7 linked regions of the Xenopus tropicalis genome follow. The protein of the gene in region 1 purifies or fractionates together with the protein of each later gene. This does not show direct contact. Links are inferred from orthologs where the notes say so. Each region holds a gene or a part of one and is shown on either strand. Other genes may lie near its edges.

Evidence for each region.
Region 2: the proteins of stx12 (region 1) and slc7a1 purify together in Homo sapiens (co-immunoprecipitation; 3 studies listed by BioGRID and IntAct, counting the BioPlex papers as one, with this or other methods). This does not show direct contact. The link is inferred for Xenopus tropicalis from reciprocal best matches to the Homo sapiens genes STX12 and SLC7A1.
Region 3: the proteins of stx12 (region 1) and vamp4 purify together in Homo sapiens (affinity purification with mass spectrometry; 3 studies listed by BioGRID and IntAct, counting the BioPlex papers as one, with this or other methods). This does not show direct contact. The link is inferred for Xenopus tropicalis from reciprocal best matches to the Homo sapiens genes STX12 and VAMP4.
Region 4: the proteins of stx12 (region 1) and vamp3 purify together in Homo sapiens (affinity purification with mass spectrometry; 3 studies listed by BioGRID and IntAct, counting the BioPlex papers as one, with this or other methods). This does not show direct contact. The link is inferred for Xenopus tropicalis from reciprocal best matches to the Homo sapiens genes STX12 and VAMP3.
Region 5: the proteins of stx12 (region 1) and stx10 purify together in Homo sapiens (affinity purification with mass spectrometry; 3 studies listed by BioGRID and IntAct, counting the BioPlex papers as one, with this or other methods). This does not show direct contact. The link is inferred for Xenopus tropicalis from reciprocal best matches to the Homo sapiens genes STX12 and STX10.
Region 6: the proteins of stx12 (region 1) and nsf purify together in Homo sapiens (co-immunoprecipitation; 4 studies listed by BioGRID and IntAct, with this or other methods). This does not show direct contact. The link is inferred for Xenopus tropicalis from reciprocal best matches to the Homo sapiens genes STX12 and NSF.
Region 7: the proteins of stx12 (region 1) and snap23 purify together in Homo sapiens (affinity purification with mass spectrometry; 3 studies listed by BioGRID and IntAct, counting the BioPlex papers as one, with this or other methods). This does not show direct contact. The link is inferred for Xenopus tropicalis from reciprocal best matches to the Homo sapiens genes STX12 and SNAP23.

Annotation. Positions count from the first base shown.
Region 1 is NC_030678.2:83,639,054-83,643,051, forward strand, and holds the start of stx12 (syntaxin-12), read right to left. Parts: upstream 2,801-3,998; 5' UTR 2,780-2,800; coding exon 2,686-2,779; intron 1-2,685. UniProt on the Homo sapiens protein: SNARE promoting fusion of transport vesicles with target membranes. Together with SNARE STX6, promotes movement of vesicles from endosomes to the cell membrane, and may therefore function in the endocytic recycling pathway.
Region 2 is NC_030678.2:154,474,739-154,479,027, reverse strand, and holds the start of slc7a1 (high affinity cationic amino acid transporter 1), read right to left. Parts: upstream 2,801-4,289; 5' UTR 2,594-2,800; intron 1-2,593. UniProt on the Homo sapiens protein: High-affinity, low capacity permease involved in the transport of the cationic amino acids (arginine, lysine and ornithine) in non-hepatic tissues.
Region 3 is NC_030680.2:107,501,077-107,505,340, reverse strand, and holds the start of vamp4 (vesicle-associated membrane protein 4), read right to left. Parts: upstream 2,801-4,264; 5' UTR 2,781-2,800; intron 453-2,780; exon of another isoform or gene 347-452; intron 1-346. UniProt on the Homo sapiens protein: Involved in the pathway that functions to remove an inhibitor (probably synaptotagmin-4) of calcium-triggered exocytosis during the maturation of secretory granules.
Region 4 is NC_030683.2:101,173,772-101,177,700, reverse strand, and holds the start of vamp3 (vesicle-associated membrane protein 3), read right to left. Parts: upstream 2,801-3,929; 5' UTR 2,756-2,800; coding exon 2,754-2,755; intron 1-2,753. UniProt on the Homo sapiens protein: SNARE involved in vesicular transport from the late endosomes to the trans-Golgi network.
Region 5 is NC_030679.2:140,624,130-140,628,346, reverse strand, and holds the start of stx10 (syntaxin-10), read left to right. Parts: upstream 1-1,417; 5' UTR 1,418-1,713; coding exon 1,714-1,748; intron 1,749-3,675; coding exon 3,676-3,845; intron 3,846-4,112; coding exon 4,113-4,207; intron 4,208-4,217. UniProt on the Homo sapiens protein: SNARE involved in vesicular transport from the late endosomes to the trans-Golgi network.
Region 6 is NC_030686.2:15,512,336-15,514,986, forward strand, and holds the end of nsf (vesicle-fusing ATPase), read right to left. Parts: intron 2,592-2,651; coding exon 2,512-2,591; intron 2,422-2,511; coding exon 2,287-2,421; intron 1,533-2,286; coding exon 1,419-1,532; intron 1,294-1,418; coding exon 1,238-1,293; intron 913-1,237; coding exon of another isoform or gene 885-912; exon of another isoform or gene 868-884; coding exon 858-867; 3' UTR 501-857; downstream 1-500.
Region 7 is NC_030684.2:105,577,757-105,581,917, forward strand, and holds the start of snap23 (synaptosomal-associated protein 23), read right to left. Parts: upstream 2,801-4,161; 5' UTR 2,752-2,800; intron 1-2,751. UniProt on the Homo sapiens protein: Essential component of the high affinity receptor for the general membrane fusion machinery and an important regulator of transport vesicle docking and fusion.

The sequences.
Region 1 (3,998 bases):
AGATTATTTTTTTCCTTTTAACAAATTTAAAAAAGGTACTGAGATCAGTATCATGGGAAGACTTCTTATCCGGAAAACCCCAGGTCTGAAGTCTTCCAGATAACTGATCCCAAACCTGTACAGGTATGGGATCTGTTATCAGGAAACCCCTTATCCAGGAAGTTCCGACTCCCACTGACTCCATTATAAGCCTATAATTCTAATATTTTTTTTAAATGTCCTTTTTCTCTGTAATAACAGAACAGTTACTTGAACTTGATTCCAACTAAGATAAAATTAATCCTTATTGGTAGCAAAACAAGCTTATTGAGGTTAATTTTTAAATAATCTTTTAGTAGACTTAAGCTATGGAGATCCAAATTACAGAAAGATCCCTTATCCATAAAATCTCAGGTCCCTAGCATTCTGGATAATAGGTCGCATACCTGTACCTGTGTTTTTTTTTTTTTTTAATAGAAATTTATATTTATTATTGATATTCCTTTTCTAGGCCATCTCTAATGAGTTACAACTAAAATATTGCACCTTCTTTATTTACCTGTACCAGACTTCAACTTCTTTTTTAGAAATGGCTGCTGTTTTGAAGATGTTGGGCTTTGGGTGTGGTACTGACCCGACAAGGCTGGAAGTACTGTTTAAATCAACCTTGACTAGACAAGTGCCACAGGTAAGTAAAGGGGGTAGGGGGATGCCAGGCTTCAGTGTTAAAGCTTTAGGTTATGGAAGGAACCTTTTTCACCAACAAATTCCTGTGAAAACCTGTAAAGTCTCTGTATAAATTATATTTGCTGAACATGCCCAATAAAACATTACCTATCTGAAAAAGACTATGTAACTTCAACCTGTACCGCACTTCATGACAACAGTGCACCTTATATCAGTATGACACAACAACACACCTTGACAGCATACCGAGAAGCTGAAAACACAGTTATCAGATCTCAGCAGTGTGCTGTTATCAGTGCAGAATAACTGGGCCATTCCAAAACATACAATAACAGTCATTTGTAGGACAGCAGCAATTTTCCTGTAAACACTGCACTGTGCTAGTCTATAATTACAAAAAGAAAAACAGCAGCATAGTGAACAATGAACAAAAAATCTCATTACATGAATTACGTCCTTGCTATATCCACTTTTAATTAGAGGCTCTCACATGGAGTGCACATTTACCACTTCTCATTAAAAATACTGAATATAATTAAGATACTATCATCTCAAAAAAACCTTTTTAAAAAAAAATACCATGTCAGTCCAAGCCTGCTTGAATCACAGTACAATGAATGTTCTGTTATAAAGATAACTAGATTCTCAGCTATAAAGCAAGACAGGACTGACTGCTGCCTTCTTAGACTAAGGACATTAATCATGTGATTTCACTTTCAAATGGAAGCGGAAACATAGGATTTTTAACAAGTAAAAATGTAAGGTATTTTCCCCCCAAATTCCTTTACTTTACTAAACCTAACATGACCAACAGGCAAAGTGTAATTTTGTTAAAGATGCCCCTTTAAGATGGTTAAGGAATGGGTATGTTTGGATAGTAAATGTCTTATGTCTAGTCCAAATAGAGGGAGTGACAAATTGCTCTTATGACGTATTTACTACTATTCCATGGCATCCTTTAATTAAGAGCTGAACACTTGTTTAAGAATGAAACTACACATAGACTTGAAGAACAGAGGCCAGTAGTACCAAGACTCCATATTTATTTATTTACTTACTTCTGGGGGTATGTAATGATTGGCAGAAGTCAATACTGTGAATCTAATACATAATGATATACAAGAAAATACATATTTCCTGCCAAGTCTCATTCATTCAACATGATAAATCACACATTATGAACTCCTATCCTGCTGTCATGCTGGGAGGAAGGAAATATTACAATTTCATGGCCCCTGCCTGACCTGGTGAATCCTGCTTGTGCCCACGCCCAAAATTTTCTCTGAGCTTGCAAAGCAGTGATCAGGCAGTTAGGGGGGAACAAAAAACCCCCATGGAGTAAGGCAGGAATGTAACCCACTCAACACAAATTCAGTAAGCGAGGGTAAAACTGCTCAGCCTGATTTCACTGGTTGCTGAACTACATTTCTACAAATGCTGCCTTTAGGATAATATTGTAATGTGTAGTTTAACCACAGCAAGAGCCCAACCAGGTGACAAGCCTAACAGTAGTAACTTCTTGGTAACAGTAACCCAATCAGGAATCTCCAGTAGGAAATGACTTCCCACTGCACTTAGCTCCCTTCCTGCCTGTCACCCCTGCTTCTCTGTGCCCCTCTGCCAATGAACATGCCAGCTGATAGCTGCTGTACTGTACACCCACCCACCAACCAACACAAGGAAACATTAGTTGATTTTTGTCATTTGCCAACTGTCCAGTCTCCATATATGCAATGCTATATAAATAATTTTCTCTATTTCCAGCTGTGTCAGTATAGCCGCCCTTCCTGTACATCAGTGGGTGTGTAGCACCTGGGAATTACACATAATACAAGGGGCCCATATAACATGTTAATCTCTGTTGTCCAAAAGTTCCCATTGCCAATGGCTAACAATTCGTCCTTCAAATCTCCACCAGTACCCCCATCTATATACTGCGGGTGTGTGCAGCTCGCTGCGATCACGGATATATATACAGGAATAGGACCGGTGCTCTGTAGAAAAACTGGGGATACTGACTGTTATTTGTGATCCTCTGCACATTGCCGCTGCAGGTCTGAATAATGCTGTTGAAGTCCCGGGCACGGCTCTGCTGCTTCATGTACCCAGACATGTTGCTCCTCTTAGGGCCCCGTCCTCCTTTCTGAGTATAAGAGATGGTGGGATGAAGCGACTCTAAGGAAGTCGTGATGTCATAGCCATGTGACCGTGATGTCACGTAGGAATTGTCAGGCTCCTATCAGCGATAAGCGCCTCCCAGTCATGATACCACGTGACAGCTTGGAAAAGATGCTGTTGTTGCCACTCCTTTAAAGAGAACAAGGAATGCAAATGTAGAATTCTGCTGGTTTATAAAAATCAGCAAGTGCGCCTTTGGAGGATGGGGTACTTAATATCCCAGGTCCTGGAGCAATTGCTGGGTCTAATTATTTTTTTTTCCCTACACCCCTAGTACTTGGATTTAATGGAGGGAGATGAGAAATATGCTGGGTGCACATGGGGGACAAGTATTGTGATCTTTAGTAAAATGTTGTTTACCTGTACAACAGGTAAGCAGTTGAAGCATAGTGTGTGATATGTATGTTCAAGGCTGCTGTTAAAGGGCAAGGTGATATATACAGGAATTATATATGAGTGATGTGTAGGCTGGGACTGGCAATCTATGGGTTCTGGCAAATGCCAGAGGAGCTGCTGTAAGATGTTATAGACAGTTAATATTTATTGGGCTGGTAGAGGGCTGTTTGGACCTCTTGTGTACTTGAAATGCCAGGGCCTATTTTGACTCCCAGTCTGGACATGGCGATGTGTAATATCTGTTGGACTTCTTGGGAACTCTGAATGCTGAGGGAGGGCAGTTTGGTAAGTCCATCAGTGCCAGTGGATAGCAGCGTTTTATGTATGGATGTTTCTGGGGGTTGCTAGATAAGAACTGTGATTGGTTATTTGGTAGCCCCTATGAGGACTGGCAGCATACAGGAGGCTCTGTTTGGCAGTACACCTGGTTTTTATGCAACTAAAAATTGCCTTCAAGCCAAAAATTAAAAAACAAGCACCTGCTTTAAGACCCCCTGGAGAGACATCTAGGGTTAGCGAGCACTATGTTGCTCACAAGCCACTGGTTAGGGATTACTGTTCTTACAGAGGCAAGTGATGAGTATTGTGCCACGCAAAAATCTTTGCGTCACTGCATTTTGAATCATCTTTAAGAAAGTATTGTGTGTGTGGGAGGTAGAAATACGGTAGTTTGAATTAGCAGAGGTGCGCCAGGAATTTTTAAAAAAAGACCCCTTAACTGCTCTCCTCTTTCCCATCCCATTATCATCCTCTCTTTC
Region 2 (4,289 bases), about 71 Mb from region 1:
AATCAGGGAACAAATAAAACCTCCCCCAATAAAACCTAACAGGGGTTTAACCATGAGGCTAAAAAACCACCCACATCCTAATTGCTGCTTTGATTCCCCATGTTGCCAAGTATGGAGTAAGACCACTCCTGCTTGTTGGCTTGAGTACGGGGCAAAAATAAGGGGCGTGCCAACGGGCATCTGCCTGGCAACCTGGTTGATTTAAACACAAACTACACAGGGCCACTGATGCAGTTCTCTACATAGGGGCAATTAATATCCAATTACTGGCCTGTGGGCCAAATCTGTGATAATTATATGCCTGTATGGCTATCAGTAGGCTAATGTCAAACTAGGAATATCTATTTGGGCAATGTCAGACGCAGTGCTCTGTCACCTGAGGGAGATCTCACGTGGGCAAGAAAGAATCTGAAAAAAACCATTAATTCAGATAAATGAAGATTGTTGCACTTTACTACTTACGGAGTGGCCAGATTTTATCAGCCAAAGGTCCACCAGACAGGTCAAGTGAAGACACAAGGAGCTACTTAGGTGCAGCAGCTACAAATGCCAGATAATACCTTGCCATAGACAGTACTAAGAACTGCCTCTCCCAAAACACATGTAGAGACAATTATCAGTAAATGATCAGCTTTGTCTATTTTTGTAGCCACGACAAGTAAGAGGTGATAGATGGGCTTGTGCATCAGAGCTTGCAATCTACAGCAGAAAGGAGAGTGCTGGTGAGCAGCTACTAAACACAAAGTACACCAAACTGGCCTAAAGACACTGAATTTTATCACCTAAAAGGGATTATTTTCTTTCTTTTGAAGATTTTTTTAGTAATGAGTCCCACATAATGCAATTTTTAGGCTGCCCTATCTCGTGGGTTGGGTCTAGTAGCTAGGGACGTAGTCACATTCTCTATTCCAGGGCAGTCCAAGTGCCAAGTAACAGCTGTAGGAAAAGTGTGGGCCTCAAAAGGATTTTTATGGCCCCCAGAAGGAAAGATGGGGGTGTCCATTGGACCATTCATGTCAGGCAGTCAGGGCACATTACTCTGTAAGCACCATATCCCCTACAGCAAAGAGGCAGAACTTGCTGCCCTTCATATTTAGCAATTACACCCATTACCCCCCCAAAAAAAAACTCCAGTTGCTCCTTCCATAGTGCTTTAGCTTGGTGATGGGATTCTGGGACCTGGCCCATCCCTGCCCTACGTGTCCCACGTTACACAGCAGTGTCATTAAATATTTATGAGTAGCCATTAACTAACCATTCTGGAAGCAACAGAAATGGGCCAATAGAAAGTCCCATGTTAATGCCATAAAGTGCTCGTACACCCCCTTGTTCAACACGAGCTTTAAGGGATACTGTCGTGAGTAATTCACTCTGCCATTTAAAATTTTAATCTTAAACCAACAAATGTATTTTTTTAGCTGTAATATTGGTGTGTAGGCGCATCTCAGTACATTGTGCCTGAGTCTGAGCTTTCAGAAGGAGCCAGCGCTACACATTAGACCTGCTTTCAGGTAACCTATTGTTTCTCCTACTCCCATGTAACTGGAGGAGTCCCAAGCCGGACTTGGATTTCTTACTATTGAGTGCTATTCTGATACCTACTGGGAACTGCTTTCTTGCTCCCTTCCCATTGTTCTGCTGATCGGCTGCTGGGAGGGGGGGCATATCATTCCAACTTGCAGCGCAGCGGTAAAGTGAGACTAAAGTTAATAAGAGCACAGGTCACATGGCTGTGGCACCCTGGGAAATGAAGAATATGGCTAGCCCCATGTGAAAATTCAAAATTAAATATAAAAAATATGTTTGTGTTTTGAAAAGCAGATTTCAACGCAGGATTCTGCTGGAGAAGCTCTATTAACTGATGAGTTTTGCAGAAAAAAAAAATCATGTTTTCCCATTGCAGTATTCCTTTAATGAACAGAGTTTGAATTAAACATATTTCTATTTTCATTATGAAAAATATGTTTCATTGTAGAGCTAAAAAGAGCAGATAATTCAAAGAGACTCCATGTAGGTATCTCCCATCCCACCCCATTACTGACGCAAGTAAGGGAACACCCCTATGGCCACAGGGCACCAAGGAGCCCTATCATAACTGCTGCCTTATAAAAAAAAAAAACTAAAAATATATATTTTTAAATTAAAGACCAGGCAAAATGTATTTTCAGCATAAGTCCTACTCATTTAGCCTGTGCGTATCCATACAATACACTGTAACAGCAAATGTTTCACACACACACACACACATACGTATATATATATATATTTTTTTTTTATCATATACAAATATCATTAGCTGTGGCACACAGTCCCAGCATCCCCCGTAGAACTGTAGCAGACCCCACATGACTGGGGCACATGGAGGGGCGGAGCCAGTAGCCAAGAGGCAGCGCTATTGCATCATGCCATGTGGGGAGGTATATTTGTGCCCATAACACGGCTGGTACCGGCAATAATTATTACTATTATCATTTCATGCCTCAGGGCGGCGCAGGGTCGCCATTATAAGTACATTCATACACATTGTGAAGCGACAGCAGTGAGTGAGTAGCGAGCAGGCAGCGAGAGAAGGCGGGACAGCAGCTGTCATTACCTTTGTGGAGCGGAAAATGTGACGCGGTGGGGGGGGTCACGATGGGCTCTCGGAAAATACCGAACTCCTCCTGCACTTGGTACAGCCTTTCTCTCAACCGTGACAGTGCCTTCCGCTCCGGAATAGATTACTCACAGCTCCGGCTCTCTCCCCGGCTTGCTTGGAGCAGGTACCGCTACACGTCACTGAGGGGGCGGGGCTAGGACTGACAGAGCCTTACATGGGCGCCCCTTCTCACACGTGACCTTGACATACGCCGCTCCCATTGGCCGGAGCGGGAGTAGTAAGGCTGGGAGCTGCGGTGCATGATTGGTACCTCACAGAGCCTTATTACTTCATTATCCGCCCGTTCAGGCTCAGGCAGGCTCTCTAGAGTTGTAATAAACCAATATTTACTAGACGTCTGCAATTAAACACTTTGTGGAGGGTGCCCCTTTTCTGTATAAAACTGAAACAGAGCCAGGGTAGTTATTATTCACGTTGCCATCGTTCCTACAGTTGTTGGCTCAAAGTGTACGTGGGGTTTGTGCTGCCAGGTCTAACTTTCAAAAACAAGCAAAAGAGTAAAGGCAAAATCCTTCCCAAACCCTATGGGGATATATATCTGGGCATATCTAAAGTGTATAGCCCCCCCCCCCCCAGAGGAAGAGAATAAAGACTGAGAGAGCTGAGGAATGATGACAGTTCTAGAGTAAAGGGAAAACATGGCAGCAAGAATGAGTTGACATAAAGAAAGGGTGACAGCTGAGCCTGGGGTTAGCTCCCAACTGTCCTGTTCTCAGCCTGCAGTCCTGGATTCTTACTGAAAAATCCTTCATTTCCCTTTGAGCTCCTGCACCAAAAAAGATACAACATTTCTCAAATGTAATTACATAAGGAGGCTTTTGGCAGAGCACCAATTATAACTAATGACATCATTAAGAATTATACATTCATTTCTATAATATACACAAGAGCCACTGATGTATTTATATATGGGCAGCCAAGTGCCTGTGCCTAGGGTGGCAGATTTTGGGGGGCGGCCTTCGGGTACCTATATAAAAATGCACTCAGGCATCACAGATTTCCATAAGTGAGGGTAAGGGGGTCAGGTTGCCCATCACTTTAATGATGTAGGTGCATGTGATGTTACTTATGCGCCAAACGGTGTATTTAGGTCCGGTGCCTAGGGTGGCAAAGGCCCTAAATACAGCCCTGACTATCCTGTAAACTATATCCTAATAAACTGTGCTTAGTGATCATTAGTTATTATCGATGCTGAGTGATGTAATTTCTGTCATGACTCATTGAAACTTGTGTATTATAATAAATGCTGCACCCCCTGTTGTAAAATATGAGAATATTATAAGTAAACTCGGAGTTCCATATAGTCATGAAACTCTTTGGTAACTTATAATATCCATATATATTACAATAGGGGGTGCAGCATTCACTATATATACACACGTAAGGCTGAACATTTCACTCCTGACTGTATTTTATATACTATTTTATTCAATTGGCTCCGATGAGTATGTAAAGGGAATATTACAAGCTGCCTCTCAGCCACACAATAAAGCCAATATAAATTTGACGTTTCAGTAAAAAACAAAAGCCGAAGACAAGAGGGACATGTGCAGCCAACAAGGACAGGGACACTGTGAGCCTATCTCCCAGTCTGGCAAATATTTTGCCTTGAATCTCCGATTGGAAGTTA
Region 3 (4,264 bases), on another chromosome or scaffold:
CCCACAACATGTGATTACCTTTAAGAAAAAAACCCCAAAATTAAGGAATTGGCGCATTCTAGGGTAAACATTATGCCCATGTAATCTGGAGGTATTATTTATTACATTTGGACTTGAGAAGTTTTACAGAAATGTTATGCACTGACAAACTAGTGATTTTTTTTTCTTGCTGAAATTAAGGGCTGAGAACTTTAGTTCCCATGCACACATATACAGGTTATTTCTACATAATTTCCAATTAACTATTATAGGACAAAGAATCTGCACAGTGATGGAAACCTTTGTGCACTGGGCAGGATTGCTTAACATGCATGATATATAAGCATTTTTGGAATAACTGTCTCACCTTTTCGAAAGGGAAATACTGGCATTTATATGGTTATTTTATTGGCTGAAACAGATAATTCTCCATGGTTTAAAGGAATGTCTGATGAAGAGACCCAGCTGCCCCTAAAACCTGGTCAATAAATATAAAACAAAGAGCTGCTTTTTTCTTTCTCAACCAACTAGGTTTGAAATTAAAAATACAAGCTGCCAATAATAAACTGCCAGGGACACAAAATAATAAAGATAATAAGTCTTAAGTCTTGGCTAATATTTGGCATATAAAGAAAAAAGCAGACTAAACTGCCAGTTACATAAAAAGAAATGAAAATATTCACATATACATTTCCTTCCAGAGCTAACAACCCCCCCCCCCCCCACCCCACCCCATTACACCATGATTCTGCATTTACAAGGAAAAAGAACACAATGTAGAATTATACACAGGGGCAAGAACATAGCTGCGAGTTCAGCAAAAACCTAAAAAATAATTCTTGCATTCTACTGTTCAAAAATGTATTACCCGAGGCTCTGTCCTGTTCTGCTCTGCTCTGGAGCTGGTGCTAAGGAAAGGGGCCTATAAAAGCTATTTTTCTCTGTACTGCATTTTCGGCGCCTGAATAAGGTGCTACCGCAATTATGAACATTAAGGGCCTTAAGTTTGCCTTGAGAGGAAACTTCCGCAATTTTGGGAAATTGCGGCACCGCATATGCCATACCACCGGCGATTGACATTTAAGCCGATGGGGTGGCATATCGGGGTGATTAGTCGCCCGCGACAAGGGAGATTTGTTGCAGGCGAATAATCTCCCCGTCTGCCACGGCCCTAAAGGAGAAGGAAAGTTACAATCACTTGGGGGTGCCAAAATGTTAGGCAGCCCCCCTCCCCTCAGTGACTTCAATCGCTTACTTGAAACCCCCAGCCGGTGCTCCTGTTTGGAGAAAACTGCAGTGGCCAGGGTGTATGCGAGCGAGCGTTCCTTCTTCTTTGCACATGTGCAGTAGAGTAAAAAGCCGGCTTTAACAAAATAGCTGGCTTTTTCATTCAACTGAGCATGCTTCGGCCCCTGGATTCCGAAGAAAGAAGATAAAAGGAAAAGGAACACTCGCTCACATATACCCAAGGCCACTGCAGTTTTCTCCAAACAGGAGCACCGGCTGGGGTATCAGGTAAATGATTACAATCAATGGGGGTGCCTAACATTTTATTTATCTCCATCCCATCCAGACACACTCCAATAATTCTGAAGTATCCAGCCGGATGCTTACTATATACAGTCACAATACAAAAGCACTTATTTTTGCATGTTATTTAAGTAATCCAGTGAAGTTAAAGAGTGATTCACCTCAAGTTAACTTTTATTATGTTATAAAATGATCAATACTTGGCAACTTTTCAGCTGGTCTTCATTTGTTATTTTGTATCGTTTTTGAATTATTTGGCTTCTTCTTCTAAAGCTTCCAAATGGGGGTCACTGACCAGGTCTGATCTGGGATTCAAAATAGGCCTGGCCAATTCAAGTACACAAAAGGCCCAAACAGCCCCCACCAGCCCAATAGTGACTGTCTATGGTATCTTACAGCAGCCCCTCTGGAATTTACCAGAATCCACATATCGTCAGTCCGGGCCTGTCACTGACCCTGTCTGTCAAAAACTATTGCTCTGTGAGGCTACAATTTTATTGTCATTCTCTTCATTACTTATCTTCCTAGTTACGTTCTCTCCTGTTCATATTCCAGTCTCTAATTCAAACCACTGCCTGGTTACTAGGGTAACTAAGATCAAAGCAACCAGATAGGTGCTGAAACTCCAAACTGAAGAGTTGCTTCGCAAAAAGCAAATTAATTAAAAAACCGTAAATAATAAAAATTAAGACCAAATGCAAATATAAATCTCCACGTCATACTTAAAAGTTAATTTTAAGGTGAACAACCCCTTTAAAAGTTCTACGTGTTCCAATCTATACAAAGTTGTCATCAAGATCATCCTTATGACAGTCAATGAGACTATATATGTACCCTCTATTGTACATGATAAAGATATCAGAGGTTATGGGAGGTTTCATGACCATATAGTGGCACAACGCAGCAAGACACAAATTTTAGAACTAAGCACTGATTATCACTATCAATTTACTGGATATTCATGGCTTGAGTACTGTGTGTGTGTATAATATATATATATATTATATATATACATACATACACACACACATAGAAGATAAATTAACAAGTAAAGCAATAGGTGGCCATAAGTGTGTAGCAATTCGTATTTAGTACAGTAACACAAACACTGGGATTTGTAAAGAGGAACCACTGACAAGAAGACAATAAGACCGAGCCATCTTCCTCACCGCCTGTGACTGTCACAAGACAAACTGGCAGCTGTAATATATTCGGACGGTTCACTATTGGGGGAATCCCTCCCAACTAGAGCCGATGCGGCAGACCTGTACCTGTTCGGATGAGACTCCAGCGATGCTCAGCTCTAAGCTTATTCACTGGCTAACATGGCGCTCCAGCTGACTGTAAACCATCCATCGCTCGAAACGCGATTCACCGTCCTGTTCCCTTTAACCCTCTGAATGATCTAGAGTTCGGCGTTCTCACAATGCGCAAGCGCACTGGCACAGTGTGAAGCCAGCCTGCCAGCACCATTGTAGGACTGAAATTAATGATTTGACGTTGTTTGTATTCATTAACGCCGTACAAAATGTTTTTTTAAGTATTAATTACATCTTTTAAGATGAAATAGAGACATTAAAGAAATGTTGTCATTATTTTTAGTATTGAACAAATATTTGCTCTTTCATTTTATTTTAAATTGTCTCTTTCTTAGGCTAATATCCCATGGGGAGATTTAGTCGCTGTGATTTTTAAAAAGTGAGTCGCTTTTAACAAGTCACTTGTCTTTTCCTAACAAGCGATTACAACAATGGAGCAATTCTATTTCCCACAAATCCAAGTGTCATATTCCACAATTAGAAATTATATTCAGTGCAATGGGGAAATCGCAGCAGCTTCCATCAGTGGGTTTTACTTTCAGCGATTCCAGTAGTTTTTAATGACATTGCTTTCTTTGTAAAATCACTCAAAAAAGGGTCTCATATCGATTCAGAGCGTTAAGCGATTTGAAGTAGTATCGTCTTCGTTGTCGTGGGCAACTAATCTCCCCACAGTGCCATCCCACCCATTCTAGCCGGTGGGATGGCATTGTGGGGAGATTAGTCGCCCGCGACAACAAAGATTTGTCGCGGGGTGACTAATCTCCCCAAGTACCACTGCCCTTATACTGTAGAGTAGACATTTACATAGATAGGGTTTATTGGTCCCTTTGTAGGGCACTTACTCCTAGTGCAAGGTTATGTGTTTGCTTGTGTGTATTTATAACACCTTGGGGCACATTTACTAATCCACGAACGTCCGAAAAGCGTCCGAATGCTTTTTTTCGTAATGATCGGTATTTTGCAATTTTTTTCGTAAGTTGTCACGACTTTTTCGTAGCCGTTATGACTTTTTCGCAAATTGTCGCGACTTTTTCGTAGCGTTACGACTTGCGTGAATTGTTGCGATTTTTCGTAGCCGTTGCGCCGAGTACGAAAGTTTCGGATTCATTCAAGCTTCAGTATCGTGACTTTCCTTGGGTCGGGTTGGAGCTGCAGAGTGCCATTGAGCCCTATGGGAGACTTTCCTTGGGCCAGGTTGGAGCTGCAGAGTGCCATTGAGTCCTATGGGAGACTTTCCTTGGGCCGGGTTGGAGCTGCAGAGTGCCATTGAGCCCTATGGGAGACTTTCCTTGGGCCAGGTTGGAGCTGCAGAGTGCCATTGAGTCCTATGGGAGGCTTTCCTTGGGCCAGGTTGGAGCTGCAGAGTGCCATTGAGTCCTATGGGAGGCTTCCAAAATCATGCAAAGTCTGAAAGGTTTGCCCGCCGTTTACAA
Region 4 (3,929 bases), on another chromosome or scaffold:
CTGATATAATCAGCCTCTGAGACAGAATGCCTCCCAAACTCCACACACACGCACATCAAATGTAAAAGTGTCTGGGGAGTCATTAGCCCCCAACATCTGAATGGAATTCACCAGAAACTTTGCTGTAAGTTTTGCACTTATTGCTCAAAGGTAAAGACCTTTGAGCAATAAGTGCACATAGTGCAAAACTTACAGTATATTATTAACATTTATTTATAAAGCGCCAACATATTTTGCAGCGCTGTACAATAAGTGGGTTTCATACAATGGACATACAGAGTAACATATAAAGCAATCAATAACTGATACAAGAGGTGAAGAGAGCCCTGCCCAAAAGAGCTTATAATCTACAAATTGTGTATAATTATAATTTTATTACAATATTCTGGTCTGCAGCTGTAGATCATAAGTGAAACAGGCAGCTGCTACACTTTCTCTTCTCCTTAGTGCCAGGGTAATTACTGGGATCTACGTGCAGATCAGCTCCTCTCCTTTTTGGTAAAAATGGGTTTAAAGCTGTTTTATTGCTGCTGGCCCTTCTCTGAGTAAATAATTTGGGTGTAACCCTGGCATTCTCCTCTCTAACAACATACGGTTACATTATATTAATCAGAAGAATCTGAAATAAATGACTTACACAAAAAAAGAGTTCCCAATTGGATTGAGCTATGCTATCAGCAATCTGCAATTCTCTAGAGAAAGAAGGGACCTACTGGGGTCACAAAAAAGTTAATACGTCACCTAAAGGCTACATCCTAATGTTCAGTCAGTTTGGAAGAGATCTGCTACACTGACCAAGTGTATCTATATGGGTTATAATCTGGATACTTAAAGGAACAGCAACACCAAAAAAATGAAATTGTATAAAAGTAACTAAAATATAATGTGCTGCTGCCCTGCACTGGTAAAAGCTGTGTGTTTACTTCAGAAAGTCTACTATAATTTATATAAATAAGCTGCTATGTAGCCATGGGGGCAGCCATTCAAAAGAGAAAAGGCACAGGCACATAGCAGATAACAGATAAAACTTATCTGTTATCTGCTATGTAACCTGTGCCTTTTCTCCTTTTTTCCAGCTTGAATGGCTGCCCCCATGGCTACACAGCAGCTTATTATATAAATTATAGTAGTGTTACTGTAGCAAACACACCAGTTTTACCAGTGCAGGGCAACAGTGCATTATATTTTTATTACTTTAAAGCTCTTTCATTTTTTGGTGTTACTGTTCCTTTAAGGGTGAAGACACAATGGGCAACTAGTACCAGCTACTTTGTAAAGGCTACTAAACTCCAGAAAATACCCTAATGCCCTAACACATGTAGAGATAACTATCAGTAAATGATCAGCAGCCTTTTTTAGTAGCCATGACAAGTAGCTGCTACTAGTAGCTCTGTGTGTCTTCACCCTAAATAGTATTACCTAACTGTAACAAGTTCCTTATTATGATTCTTAGACCAATATCTGATAAATTTGCTGGTTGCCACTTCCCATAGTAATGTATTAGAAATCCTCAGCCTATGCAGCCATCACAAGGGTGATTTCCTCTGGTTGCTATGGGAGGCAGGCGTGGGTGATTTCAGGGGCTTAAACCCCCACCAGGATACAATGGTGGTCAAAACCTACCCTGTGACATGTAGCAAATGCACTTGAAATGAAACCTATCTGCTGATGAAATTCACCCAATCTGAACAACATAAATTCCGTAAAACAACAATGTGCTGCAGCAGAACATTCACATTAAGAACCATTTCTTAAAATGAGTCAAGACTTGTGAAGCAGTAAATACAAATGCGAGCCATTAAGTCTATTTTGAGTTCTAACAGAAGTCATATTATGTAATGTAACAACAAGCTGTTATTGTACTACAACTCCCATCCCATTAGATGCTAGGAGTCAGTGTCGGACTTGGGATGCTAAAAGCCCACCAGAAAACCTTAGACCAGGGATCCCCAACCTTTCTAACTCGTGAGCAACAGTCAAATGTAAAAAGACTTGGAGAGCAACACAAGCACCATAAAGTTCATGGAGGAGCCAAATAAGGGTTATTAGGTAGCCTCTATGCACACTATCAGCTTACAGGGGCTTTATTTGGTAGTAAATCTTGTTTTTATTCAACCAAAACTTGCCCCCAAGTCAGGAATTCAAACATAACTCCCTGGTTTGGGGTCACTGAGAGCAACACCCAAGGGGTTGGGGAGCAACATGTTGCCCCTGAGCCACTGGTTGGGGATCACTGCCTTAGACCATGGGGCCACCCTCCAAATTATTTTTCATCCATTTCTTATCTCTATATATTCCAAGTTATTTTTCTTTATCTTTACAGACTATAATCTATTTTTCTATATATTTAGTTGCTTTGTTCCCTTATAGAAAAATAAGTAAGGACCCTGAATTAGGCCAAATGGCTAGAAGCAGGAGGGCCCCTGGGAATTCTCCCGGTATCCCTGTGGGCCAGTCCGACACTGCTAGGAGTTCAGAAAGCAGACTGAAACATTACACGCCTATTGTAATTGTATTTACCCTTTAAAGCCATAGGGCACTTGTGTCCCCTGTCAAACACCCCTATAAGCCTATGCACAAACTTCTCGGCCGAACTAAATACAACTTTGTACGGACAAAATAGCACATTCTGCGCCCAAACTCTACGCCTCACAGGCCCCGCTCGGTAGCGCAGGGCTAAGGGCGGATACCGGGCAGGGCGTTCCCCGCAACTTGTAAAGGCAGCCCCCCCCAAGCACTACTGGCACACTTACATTTTGACAGGCTAGATACTGCAGGACACCGGTCCGACTTTACTCCGCTGGGCGTTTTTGCCTTGTGTAGCCGCAATCCCGTAGAGTTCCGCTGCCGGGAGAGGTGTGGCCAGCGCAACTCAGGGCGTGGCCAGCATCAATGACGTCAGGTGCAGCGCTGTCAGCTGAGCAGCAGGTCACGTGTGTGGCACAGCCGCTCCCGGTTTTGTCTTGTTAAATTGTCCCTCGGGGAACGGCGGAAACCGCTGCGATATTCCCGCCAATGAACTGGCATGGGGGCTTGGCGTGCGAAATTCCACACGCAAGGGTTATGTTCAGAATAGTGTGAGGCGGCGGGGGGCCCTAGGCGTGTCGGGCAGTCTAATGTGTTTCTTGCTGCGACATTAGGGGAACGCTTCTAAAGTTTAACTAGAGAGTATTCAGCCTGGGCACACAGCCTCCCTGGGGCCCCTTTGGTATAAATGGTAGCTGAGAACATTGCACTTATAGCTATGCAGCCTGCAGCGCAGTAACAGAAATAATCATTTACCTCAGTAGTCAAATAAAGCTTACAAACTAAATCCATATGGAATTCTTACAACACCGTTATATAAACCTGACCAGGAGACGAGTTATTCTTTTAATAACATTGGCCAAGCTGCGGACTAAAATGTTTTGAGGTTAAGGAAGAAATAAAACAATATAAATATGTATATAGACTGCAACTATTTGCAGGTTAAATTAATTTAATTATTATAACCAGCTTCCCCAAGTAAACAGGTGTCCTGTCCCATGGCCTGGAGAGCCCCCACCCACTCTCCTCTGCAGTAGGTTCCACACAAAGTTTGCCATGGGTGGGCCTGGACTAGCCACGCCTCCTAGGAAGGAAGAGGGGAATTGTAGGTGATTTTTGGGGAGGGGAAGTTTGGATAGGAAAGATATCAGGTGGTTGGTAGAAAAGATATTAGCAATTCTATAAAGGTGGCCATGCACCTTAAAGCTGCCAATTCGGGTTCTTCACAGTAATTCGCCATCTTATCTGTCAATGTATGGGGCCCTCTGACAGGCATCCCCAACCAATAGCTGCCCAAAAATCGTCCAGATGACGATCGGATGGTGCAGGCTTGACTTTTTGTATCCCTTTCATGTTATAGTTTGGCCTTAAGCTGGCCATACACGCACCGAAACCTTGTTTCG
Region 5 (4,217 bases), on another chromosome or scaffold:
CTCACTGTAGTTCTGACTCCTGCACTCATGCCTGTTCTCTCATTAATACGGTCTGTAACCCTTTGTTGGCAATAGAGCCAACACATTACAGCAAATGAGCCTTTGCTCAGGTGGAGGGAGGAGTCAGATGAGGCTGAACTGTATCTCTCAGACTATGCACAGAAGGTGCAATAATACTGATGGTGAGAAGGTTTGTTGGGTGTGGTAGGGGTACAGTTTCTCCTCTTGGGTGGAAGGACTATCCCCGCCATGAGTGCCCCCCATGCTCACCTTGCTCCTACTGTGAGACTTGCAGCACAGGGTTTATCTGGCACCGGTGATGTCCCACTGCCTTCTTATAGGGGCCCATTCTGCAATCACAACAGCACCAGGAACATCTGCCTTTAATCCTTCTAGGACCTCTGCCCCACACTTGACACTATGGCCACTGCTGACCAAGCCCCTCCTTACTTTCCCAAGATTCCAGTCCCCCCACACCTCTGGCTGTAATCCACAACCCCCCCCCCCCCCCCCCCCGATCAGAAGTGTGGCACCCCCAGCATCAGCCATCAAATCTATCCCATCCATTACCATTACCTGCTGCTATTATTTCTGCATGAAGATATCCATTCAGATTCACATTCAGAACTACCCACAAAATGGCAGCGGTTATACTTGGCCAATCACTGCTCTTCATTTACTCCCAACAAGCGCAACAACCCCCTCCTGAAGTGGGATCCACAGACAATGCGCCCCATACTATTGGGGGAACAAGGTGCAGGTTACACAGCCAGTTGTGCCAGTGCAGGGCAGCAGTACAATATATATTCATTACTTTGATATACTTTATTATTTTTGGTGTTACTGTTCCTTTAATTGGGCTGGTTGGGCCAAAAATACCCCAAAGTCAACGGAAGTTCTCAGCAGCCCCTCTGGCATTGGCAAAGATTTCCCCAAAAGGTCGATTTTTCCATCTTCTTAAAACTAAATAAATACTCCTATGCCACCCTGCCCCATCTTGTTTGCGAACGTTCTCCCATTATGCGGGTATTTTCCTCCAAATTTCCCTACTTTCACTTCCTCATTAGAAACAACACAGCGCCCCCAGCGAAGCTTCAACCGAACTGCAGCATTTCAGCACCAGTCACGTGACCTAGAAGTGAACTGATCGGATTAACAGAAATACACTACAAGTCCCGTGATGCTTCGCGCCTGAACCGGAGACACGTGACGGCAGGGAAGCCGAGGAGGGCGGAAGTAGGCGAAAAAGTGACTGGAAGAAAGATTGTCAGTAGGGGAGAGTTTAGAGTGTTGCGGAGAGAGTGAGACTCGGGGTCGGAGTGACAGAAGCTTGTTGCTAGGAGACAGATTTATTGTTATTATTAGAGGTACAAGTGATAGAGGTGCGGGGCAGGGAGCGGGGGGAGATGAGTTTATACACGTGTTTATATAAACAGAGGCTGTGAGGGGAGGGGGCAGAGTGCGGCCCCAGGGATGGGAGAGATACCCTGCTAGCCCCTATACTCACATATACACACACACACACATATATATATACAGGTATAGAGAGAGACAGGAGCTTATATAGAGGCTGTAGATTCCTATAAGGGCAGCTGGGGCAGAGAATGCAGTAAGTGCCTGGGCACTCTAGGGGCGCTATGTAAGTACAGACATAGATTATTGTATAGAGTTAGATAGAAGGGGAAATAAGCCAAAACAGGAAGAAAAGCCAAAATGTCTCTGGACGATCCATTCTCAGTGGTGAGAGGGTGAGTATTGGCTTCTTATTCCAGCAAATGGGCAGTGCCATGCTGCCTGTCTCCTGTGCCCGGGGGGTTACCATAGAGACCGCAGCGAGGGGCGCCAGGGAGTATACAGGGACATGTGGGGTTCTGCCTATAGGGGAGACAGATTGTGTGACTACTGGGGGTCCTAAGAAGTATAGGGGCCCAGAGGGGCACTGACTAATAACAAGGGGTTTAGGGGGCCCAGAGGGGCACTGACTGATAACAGGGGGTATAGGGGCCCAGCGGGGCACTGACTGATAACAGGGGGTATAGGGGGCCCAGAGGGGCACTGACTAATAACAAGGGGTATAGGGGGCCCAGTGGGGCACTGACTGATAACAGGGGGTATAGGGGGCCCAGTGGGGCACTGACTGATAACAGGGGGTATAGGGGGCCCAGAGGGGCACTGACTAATAACAAGGGGTATAGGGGGCCCAGTGGGGCACTGACTGATAACAGGGGGTATAGGGGGCCCAGAGGGGCACTGACTGATAACAAGGGGTATAGGGGGCCCAGTGGGGCACTGACTGATAACAGGGGGTATAGGGGGCCCAGAGGGGCACTGACTGATAACAGGGGGTATAGGGGGCCCAGAGGGGCACTGACTGATAACAGGGGGTATAGGGGGCCCAGAGGGGCACTGACTGATAACAGGGGGTATAGGGGGCCCAGTGGGGCACTGACTGATAACAGGGGGTATAGGGGGCCCAGAGGGGCACTGACTGATAACAGGGGGTATAGGGGGCCCAGTGGGGCACTGACTGATAACAGGGGGTATAGGGGGCCCAGAGGGGCACTGACTGATAACAGGGGGTATAGGGGGCCCAGAGGGGCACTGACTGATAACGGGGTATAGGGGGCCCAGCCGGGCACTGACTGATAACAGGGGGTATAGGGGGCCCAGAGGGGCACTGACTGATAACAGGGGGTATAGGGGGCCCAGTGGGGTACTGACTGATAACGGGGTATAGGGGGCCCAGCGGGGCACTGACTGATAACAGGGGGTATAGGGGGCCCAGTGGGGCACTGACTGATAACAGGGGGTATAGGGGGCCCAGTGGGGTACTGACTGATAACAGGGGGTATAGGGGCCCAGAGGGGCACTGACTGATAACGGGGTATAGGGGGCCCAGTGGGGCACTGACTGATAACAGGAGGTATAGGGGGCCCAGTGGGGCACTGACTGATAACAGGGGGTATAGGGGGCCCAGCGGGGCACTGACTGATAACAGGGGGTATAGGGGGCCCAGTGGGGCACTGACTGATAACAGGAGGTATAGGGGGCCCAGTGGGGCACTGACTGATAACAGGAGGTATAGGGGCCCAGCGGGGCACTGACTGATAACAGGGGGTATAGGGGGCCCAGTGGGGCACTGACTGATAACAGGGGGTATAGGGGGCCCAGTGGGGCACTGACTCAGTTGCAATATATATTTCTAACTTGTTCCCAAAGTTAAGAGGGTCCCTAAAATGACTTTTCTATGGGGTCCAGTAAAGTCTCTTTATGCCGATGGCAAGCGCTTCCTGCACCTTGTCATTCCCAAGGCTCAAACCATCCGTGGCCTGTAGTGAAGCCCGCCCTACAAGGATGTCAAACAGACCTGTGTATTACAACTCCCCCCCACTCACTGACTGACTGACTGACTGACTTCCCTGCCCTAGAAAGTAAACACAGGTCAGGCTGGCTGGGCTTTGCCTTGTGCTAGAGACCATAACCAAAGATGAAGTTATACCGTAAAACATAGACATTTGGCTGCCACCAACCCTTTCCCTGGGAGTCATTTCCCTATAGTAGTGCTGTTAGTCAGGGCCCCATAGTTAAAACAAAACTAGACTCCTCCCTTTCTCCCCCCTCGTTCCTCTGGTAGCCATCTCTCTGTCCTGTATTACTCTCTTTCTCCCCCCGCAGAGAGGTGCAGAAGGCTCTGAACACCAGCCGGGGTTTGTACCAGCGCTGGTGTGAACTCCTCCAAGAAAGCCAAGTTACCAGTGCCGAAGAGTTTGATTGGACGACCAACGAGTTGCGGAATTCCTTGCGCAGCATTGAATGGGATCTGGAGGATCTGGAAGAAACCATCAGTATCCTAATTGGTCAGACACAGTGCCAGTCCCTGTCAGGTAACCCTGAAATAGCCCGAGAGGCACCTAGTTGATACCAGGCATATTGATAGGAGGCCCCGAGGTGGCCCATCTAACATACTGGCGCTAGAATAAACCCATGGGATACAAAAGGGCCCCTAGCGTATGGGTTTATTCTACTGTTACGCTCTGTGTTGTTCCCTTGGCCACTGGTAGCCTTTTTGCAATTCTAGTCCATTCCACAGTTTTCCTTTACTCCCATCTTGGGCATCGTGGAATCGAACTCGCGAAAATTCAAGATCACCGGGACGGAGCTTAGTGAGAGAAGGAGTTTTGTGGAGCAGACGCGGAATTCTGTAAAGGTAAATTAAA
Region 6 (2,651 bases), on another chromosome or scaffold:
TTTCAGCAGGGCATGCAAAGCCTAAGCCTGTGATCAAATCATTAGTGATCCCTGCACTAGGGCATAGCGATCTGTAACTCTTTCAACAATAGTATATAATACAGTGTCTTATATAGTGTCTGGGCCTTGAATTTAACAACTTTCGTCCATTAACCTAATGCACTACTGCATGGTAATATAGCTGTCTATTTCTGACCCCCTTATATCTCCATGGAGAATTGTGCCTAGTATGGAGGCATACATATACTAGGGCAGAGAAGTAATCTTTTTATATTTTTGCTGCAGCCCACAATAAAATCCTACCACCCTGCTGGTCAACTTTTCCCTCCGCCAGCTAACTTCTGGCAATAGTACAATCCATTGTACAGGCAATCGTCTTTATTTGCTTCCAGTGTAGCAATACACTTGCAGCAAACAAAGATTTCCTGTGACAATGGCAGTTTAGACAAGGCTGAAACTGCACCTTCGTAGAAGCCAGGGGGAAACAAAACAAAAAGGGAAATTGTTTCATTTTTAATATTTCTATTAGAAAAATACATAGGGTAAAAATAAAGTTATCGCGGCCCTTTAAAGGTTATCTGAGAAGCTTACCAATTACCATCTCAGAGTTACAGAATACCTATTGAAAGACAGCAGTGGATCACAGCCTGCTTTGGGCATTTGTAGTTCAGGAAGCTGATAGAGAGGGAAGTATTGCGACAGCTTCGGACGACGGACAAGAAGGTATTTATTAAGAACATGCACCACGTGACGGAGAAATCACAGAGCCAGCAGCACAATTCGAGAATCCAGCCTTCCCTGGTAGAGCTGCACTTTGGGGAATGTTTAACGTCTTAATGTGGTAACGGCTTCAATGTTCACTTCCATCTGGGAGAGACAGTATGTTAGTCATAGCCACGATGGACGGGCTCTCTTAAAAGAAAGAAGGCAGAAGAGAGAAGTCTTCAATGATTACTTAACAAGTCCAGTTGCTTTAGATTTATTTATACTAGATAAGGCAGAAGAGAGTTTCTGCTTAGCACAACTAATAATTACAGGGCTCCACGGCTAGAAACAGGCAGACAGTTAAAGAATGCTGGATACATTATGTACATCGTCATTCAGCAGTATCATGTAACCCCCAAATACCATTATCTAATCATTTTATACATAAAAGAAGATTCTGGGGGAATGGAACTTGCGAAAATAAGTTGAGAGGTTTGGAAGTTGGTTGTAAGTTGTGAGTGAAAATACTTACGCTGCCTCTTCTTTGAGAAGAGCAAGGAACTTGCTAACCCGGTATTCTGGATCCATCTGCAAAAGCAGGTAAAATTAAGCATGCTAAAAATAATCTTTAGTCATTGCAAGCATCAATGAGGGAGGCAAGTATACCCGCATCAGCATTATACAGAAATCTAAACCATCGGCTCACCACTTACCTGCATGGACATCTCAATAAGCATCAGCAGTTTTTTGATTCCAATATACACTTTTTTGCCTTTAACTTGTTGAGCGATTACTGATCTTTCGTTGTCCTTGAAACCTCCCAGGAGCTGTTGAAACAGGAAACAAAGAGTCAACAAAGTTTGTTATGATGGTGCCAATGTGGCTGGTTAAAGATACTCAGGTTCAAGCATATTAGTTACTAGGATGTGCTTTGTAGAGGGAACAAGGCTATAAGCCAACATTATGGAGGTTGTTTCCACAGCCCGTCTTTCCAATTACTGTTTTCTTTTGGTTTTGTACATAACACAAAAAAATAAATCCCCCCCACCCCGTTATGCCTTATGCCATATCATTGCTCCATGCCATACTCCAGTGATTAAACCACTCCTGTGCCATCCTATAGTTTTAGAAATAGAACCCCACACTAACAGGGCTCTGTGAATATTTAAGGAGAATTATAGGAGATGTCAGACCAATGTATCGGAAGTGTTATTGCACATTCCTCTCATAATAATTCCACTGCATACATAGAAATGCAATAATGTTAAAAAATATTCGAATCTGAAGTGCCCTATACTGGCAATAATACTTTTACTTCTAGATTTAGGATCTACTGTTGAGTCTCCTTTCTAATATTTTGACTCTAGTTTTGTCTAACAGCCAGGCCTGGACTGGCAATATGCGGATTCGGGAAATGCCAGACAGGCTTAAGTAAGATGCCATAGACAGTAATTATGGAGTGGGATGTCAGGGGGGCTATTTGGGCCTCTGTGTACTCAAAATGGCCAGGTCTGCCAAAAACAAGGCAATTTAGCTAAGCACACACCTCCCCACTTGAAAGAACACAAGTCATGACCTCACCTCTAAGGCTTCCATGAGTTGTTCACCTGTGACGATATTTGGGACACGAATGGTTGTGCTAAATGCATCAAGCATTTCCATTTCCTGAAGCACATCCTTCCGGCTGGTGGTGCCAATAATTAGCAGCTTGCGACCCTTTAGAAAAGTGGTAGAAAGAAGGATATCAATGGTGAAAAGTATATTATATTAGCGTTTGTATTAGTTACCAAACTTTAGCTCTTTTACCTGAGGAGGGGCCTTCTTCAAAAGGACAAGTAGAGCCTGCAGCACTAGGTTGGAGAAGCGAGGACCAATAGGGACATAATCTGGCAGGAAAAGAGGTAAATTAACTACCTATGATACATAATAAACAATCAACAATTGGT
Region 7 (4,161 bases), on another chromosome or scaffold:
TACGATGCTTCCACAATTGTAATAATTGGTAGAGCTTAACACTGTGGAGGCATTTTTGCTCCAAAGCTTTGTGAGTGCCATTCTCATCCCTTTTTAATTTATTGTCATGTTATCCGGATGCCACAGGACCTTGTGGATGTGCACTAGCAATCTACATATTCTCGGTTACTACTAAAAGAAGCACCTAAATCAAATAAGAAAAAAAGAAAAGAACCAAAACAAACAATTTACATGCTAACCTACCCCCACCCGATTACAGTTAGGAACCTGTAATCACAGGATGACCAGAAAGATTCAGCTTCTGAGCTAAAACCGTTGTAATATTGCCTAAATGTTGTAGAACCAGTCTGGTAAGGTTGCCACAAAGTGACATACTGATCAGATAGAGGTTTTTAAAACAACAAAAAATGTTTGTGTGGCTTTTCCTGATAAAATCCCCATATACACGCCCAGAGTGGGATTCAACATAGCCCCTGGCATTTGAAGTACACAGAGACCCAAATAGCTCCCCCCAATAGACCACTAAACAGGAATCTTACAGCAGCCCCTCGGGCATATGCCAGAATACACAGATTGAAATTCTTCCATAATTATATATATATATATATATATATATATATATATATATATATATATATATATATATATATATATAGATATAGAACTGCTCTTGCACCCAGGTTCTGACTTTGTTAGTGGAGTGCATGAAACAAAGTCAGAACCTGGGTGCAAGAGCAGTTGTAATCAAATACTGCAAAAGAAATGTTAGCACTCACAGGGTTTATATGGTAAAAAAGTGTCAATATTTATTAAGACATATGCATAGGAACATGACAAACCTCAACATTTCAGTACCCCACTCACAGGATTTAAATTATTTGAAAAAAAAGGTATATTTTATTATAAAATGTGAACATTTTTATTATAAAATGTGAAAAAGTAACAGTACAGGTCTGTAATGTTCCTTTTTCACATTTTGTAATAAAATTTACCTTTTTTTACAAATAATTTAAATCCTGTGAGTGTGGACACTTATTTGTTTTGATATATGAGAGCTGCTTAGCGAAAACATTTCTGTAAAGACAAGAAATAACCCATTTAATGATTATATTGGCATGGGGTACCTATTTTAATGGAGTTTAGGATGTTATCGTATTGTGTCTGAAGTGCCAATGCACTCAATTATGAATCTGCCAATTTTCAGTCTTAATTATTATTGTTATTACGTTGCATTTATGAAAAAACAAATAGGTATTGTATGTACAAAACCACCCATACTTATAATTTAAAGGAAGTCTTTAGACACTGTTATAATTCTTAAAGGTTGCAAATATACAAATGTGAATTTCTAAATTTCTCTAGTTATAGCATCAAGTGCCCTGAGCTGCATTACACAGGCCTTCTGCAGCAGCCAATTGGAAAATTACACATGGCACCTAAGCGTGAAGTCACACTCAAGTGCTCTGTGTACTTATTTCCAACTTTTTTCCACTGCAAAGAGACAAAAAGACAGCACAGATGGTGGCTCAACCATGGAGCTGCCCATGGGCCACTGTATGAACACTAAAGCTGCCCAATACAACCGGGGCCACGGTATAAACACTAAAGCTGCCCAATACAACCGGGGCCACGTTATAAACACTAAAGCTGCCTAATACAACTGGGGCCACGTTATAAACACTAAAGCTGCCTAATACAACCGGGGCCACGTTATAAACACTAAAGCTGCCCAATACAGCCGGGGCCACTGTATGAACACTGAAGCTGCCCAATACAGCCGGGGCCACTGTATGAACACTGAAGCTGCCCAATACAGCCGGGGCCACTGTATGAACACTGAAGCTGCCCAATACAGCCGGGGCCACTGTATGAACACTGAAGCTGCCCAATACAGCCAGGGCCACTGTATGAACACTGAAGCTGCCCAATACAGCCGGGGCCACGGTATGAACACTGAAGCTGCCCAATACAGCCGGGGCCACTGTATGAACACTGAAGCTGCCCAATACAGCCGGGGCCACTGTATGAACACTGAAGCTGCCCAATACAGCCGGGGCCACGGTATGAACACTGAAGCTGCCCAATACAGCCGGGGCCACTGTATGAACACTGAAGCTGCCCAATACAGCCGGGGCCACTGTATGAACACTGAAGCTGCCCAATACAGCCGGGGCCACTGTATGAACACTGAAGCTGCCCAATACAGCCGGGGCCACTGTATGAACACTGAAGCTGCCCAATACAGCCGGGGCCACGGTATGAACACTGAAGCTGCCCAATACAGCCGGGGCCACGGTATGAACACTGAAGCTGCCCAATACAGCCGGGGCCACGGTATGAACACTGAAGCTGCCCAATACAGCCGGGGCCACGGTATGAACACTGAAGCTGCCCAATACAGCCGGGGCCACTGTATGAACACTGAAGCTGCCCAATACAGCCGGGGCCACTGTATGAACACTAAAGGTGAACACCCAAGGTAGGCAGGGTCACTGTATGTAATTTGAACTAGCTAGTGCGAGCAGGGCCCTGTTTAATACAAGATGCGCAAGGCAAAAAATAAATAATAACTTGTCCCCAGGGTAAGAATCGCGGGGGGGGGGGGCTACACTTCCTTGAATTCCGGACCCCCGCTGCCAGCAAACTCCAGAATTCAGGAATGATGGGAGTTACCCGAGCGCCTGCATCTTCTCTGTACTACATACAGCTTTCACACTGTCCAACAGTCCCACAACCCAGTTCCCTACTTACAGCTCAGGCAAAACTGTCAACTGCAGCCTCCCAGCCTCCTCTCTCACAGAATTACTCCAACGCCGCAAGTCTCATCACGCGAGAATGACATCACCCCTACACGTCAGCGCAGTGACGCGTCACGTAGCCAAATTGTAGGCGTGACAAACCGACGTAACTCGGCCGAAGTCAGCTGGTAGTCGTGGGAGCGCAATCCCAGTCTTTCGTGTTGCTTCCTCACTATCCCCTCCACTACCTCAACTCCCAGTTTTCTTTTATTTATATTTGCTAGAGTTATGACTTATACAAAAGTACCTGCCTATTTGACCAAGAAAGAATGAGAGGTTTTGTGCAACTAGGGCCAAATTTGTTTATTAAACATTATGTAAGCAAGAGTAACATTCTTTCAGGCATATGCGTTATGAAAGCATAACCATTAAACCCCTTTATGTTTAAATAATATCTTAAAGTGATACATGAAAAAAATACTTCTCAAAATATGAATGTGCATAAAAAGTTCCCTATAGGCCATGTTAATTATTTTTCACTGCTGCTTTTGTAAGTAATTGTTACTTAAAGCTCCTAAACCTGACTGTTTTGCCAACCTGACTGTCCCTTCTCAGCCTGTCAGTTATAGCTTCTAATGCTAACAGCCTCCTACTGCACAAATATGGCCGCCCCCTCATAGAGGGACATGGGAAATCAGATTACTTAATGTAAAGCATCAGCGAGTACTTGTATGGCAATATTATTAAGCTAATGCAAAGACAATGTTATGATATATTTAAAAAATTGTTTAGTTTTAGGTGTCAGTATCACTAATCACAGGAAACAGTGACACACAGAACAATACTTTGGGTAACCAAACAGTAAAGAAAGAAAAGACGTTAACCTTGAATCAAGCAGCAAAGTAAGATTTAATAATATAAATATATAATTAGTATAATAAATGAAAGCAACAAATATTTCTATATATTGATAACTGCAGTACAGCTTTAGTAATGGAAGGCATTCAATGGGAATTATAAAGCAGAACAAAAAATACAAACAGGTAGGTTCTTACTGGTGGGCCACACATAGCTCTACATGATTTATTAGCGCAGTCCAAGGAAACCTACAAAAGCTTCCCAAAGGGTTCCTTCCTGAAAGCTTGGCATATTTATTTCAGCAAATTAAATTGTAGGGCTATCTGTGGTCGAGCAAGAAGAATCTTTATGCCTCCGTCTTTGTGGACCTTTGCTTAGGGGATTTAGACATGGTGAGCACCAGTGCTTTGTAAATTATATCCGTACCCTTATACACAGTTATGGGACCCCTTCTCCAGAAACCCATTATCCAGAAAGTTCTGAATTACTGAAAGGCAATCTCCCATAGACTCCATTTTAATAAAAAAATTAACATTTTTAAAAATGGTTTCCTTTTTCTCTGTAA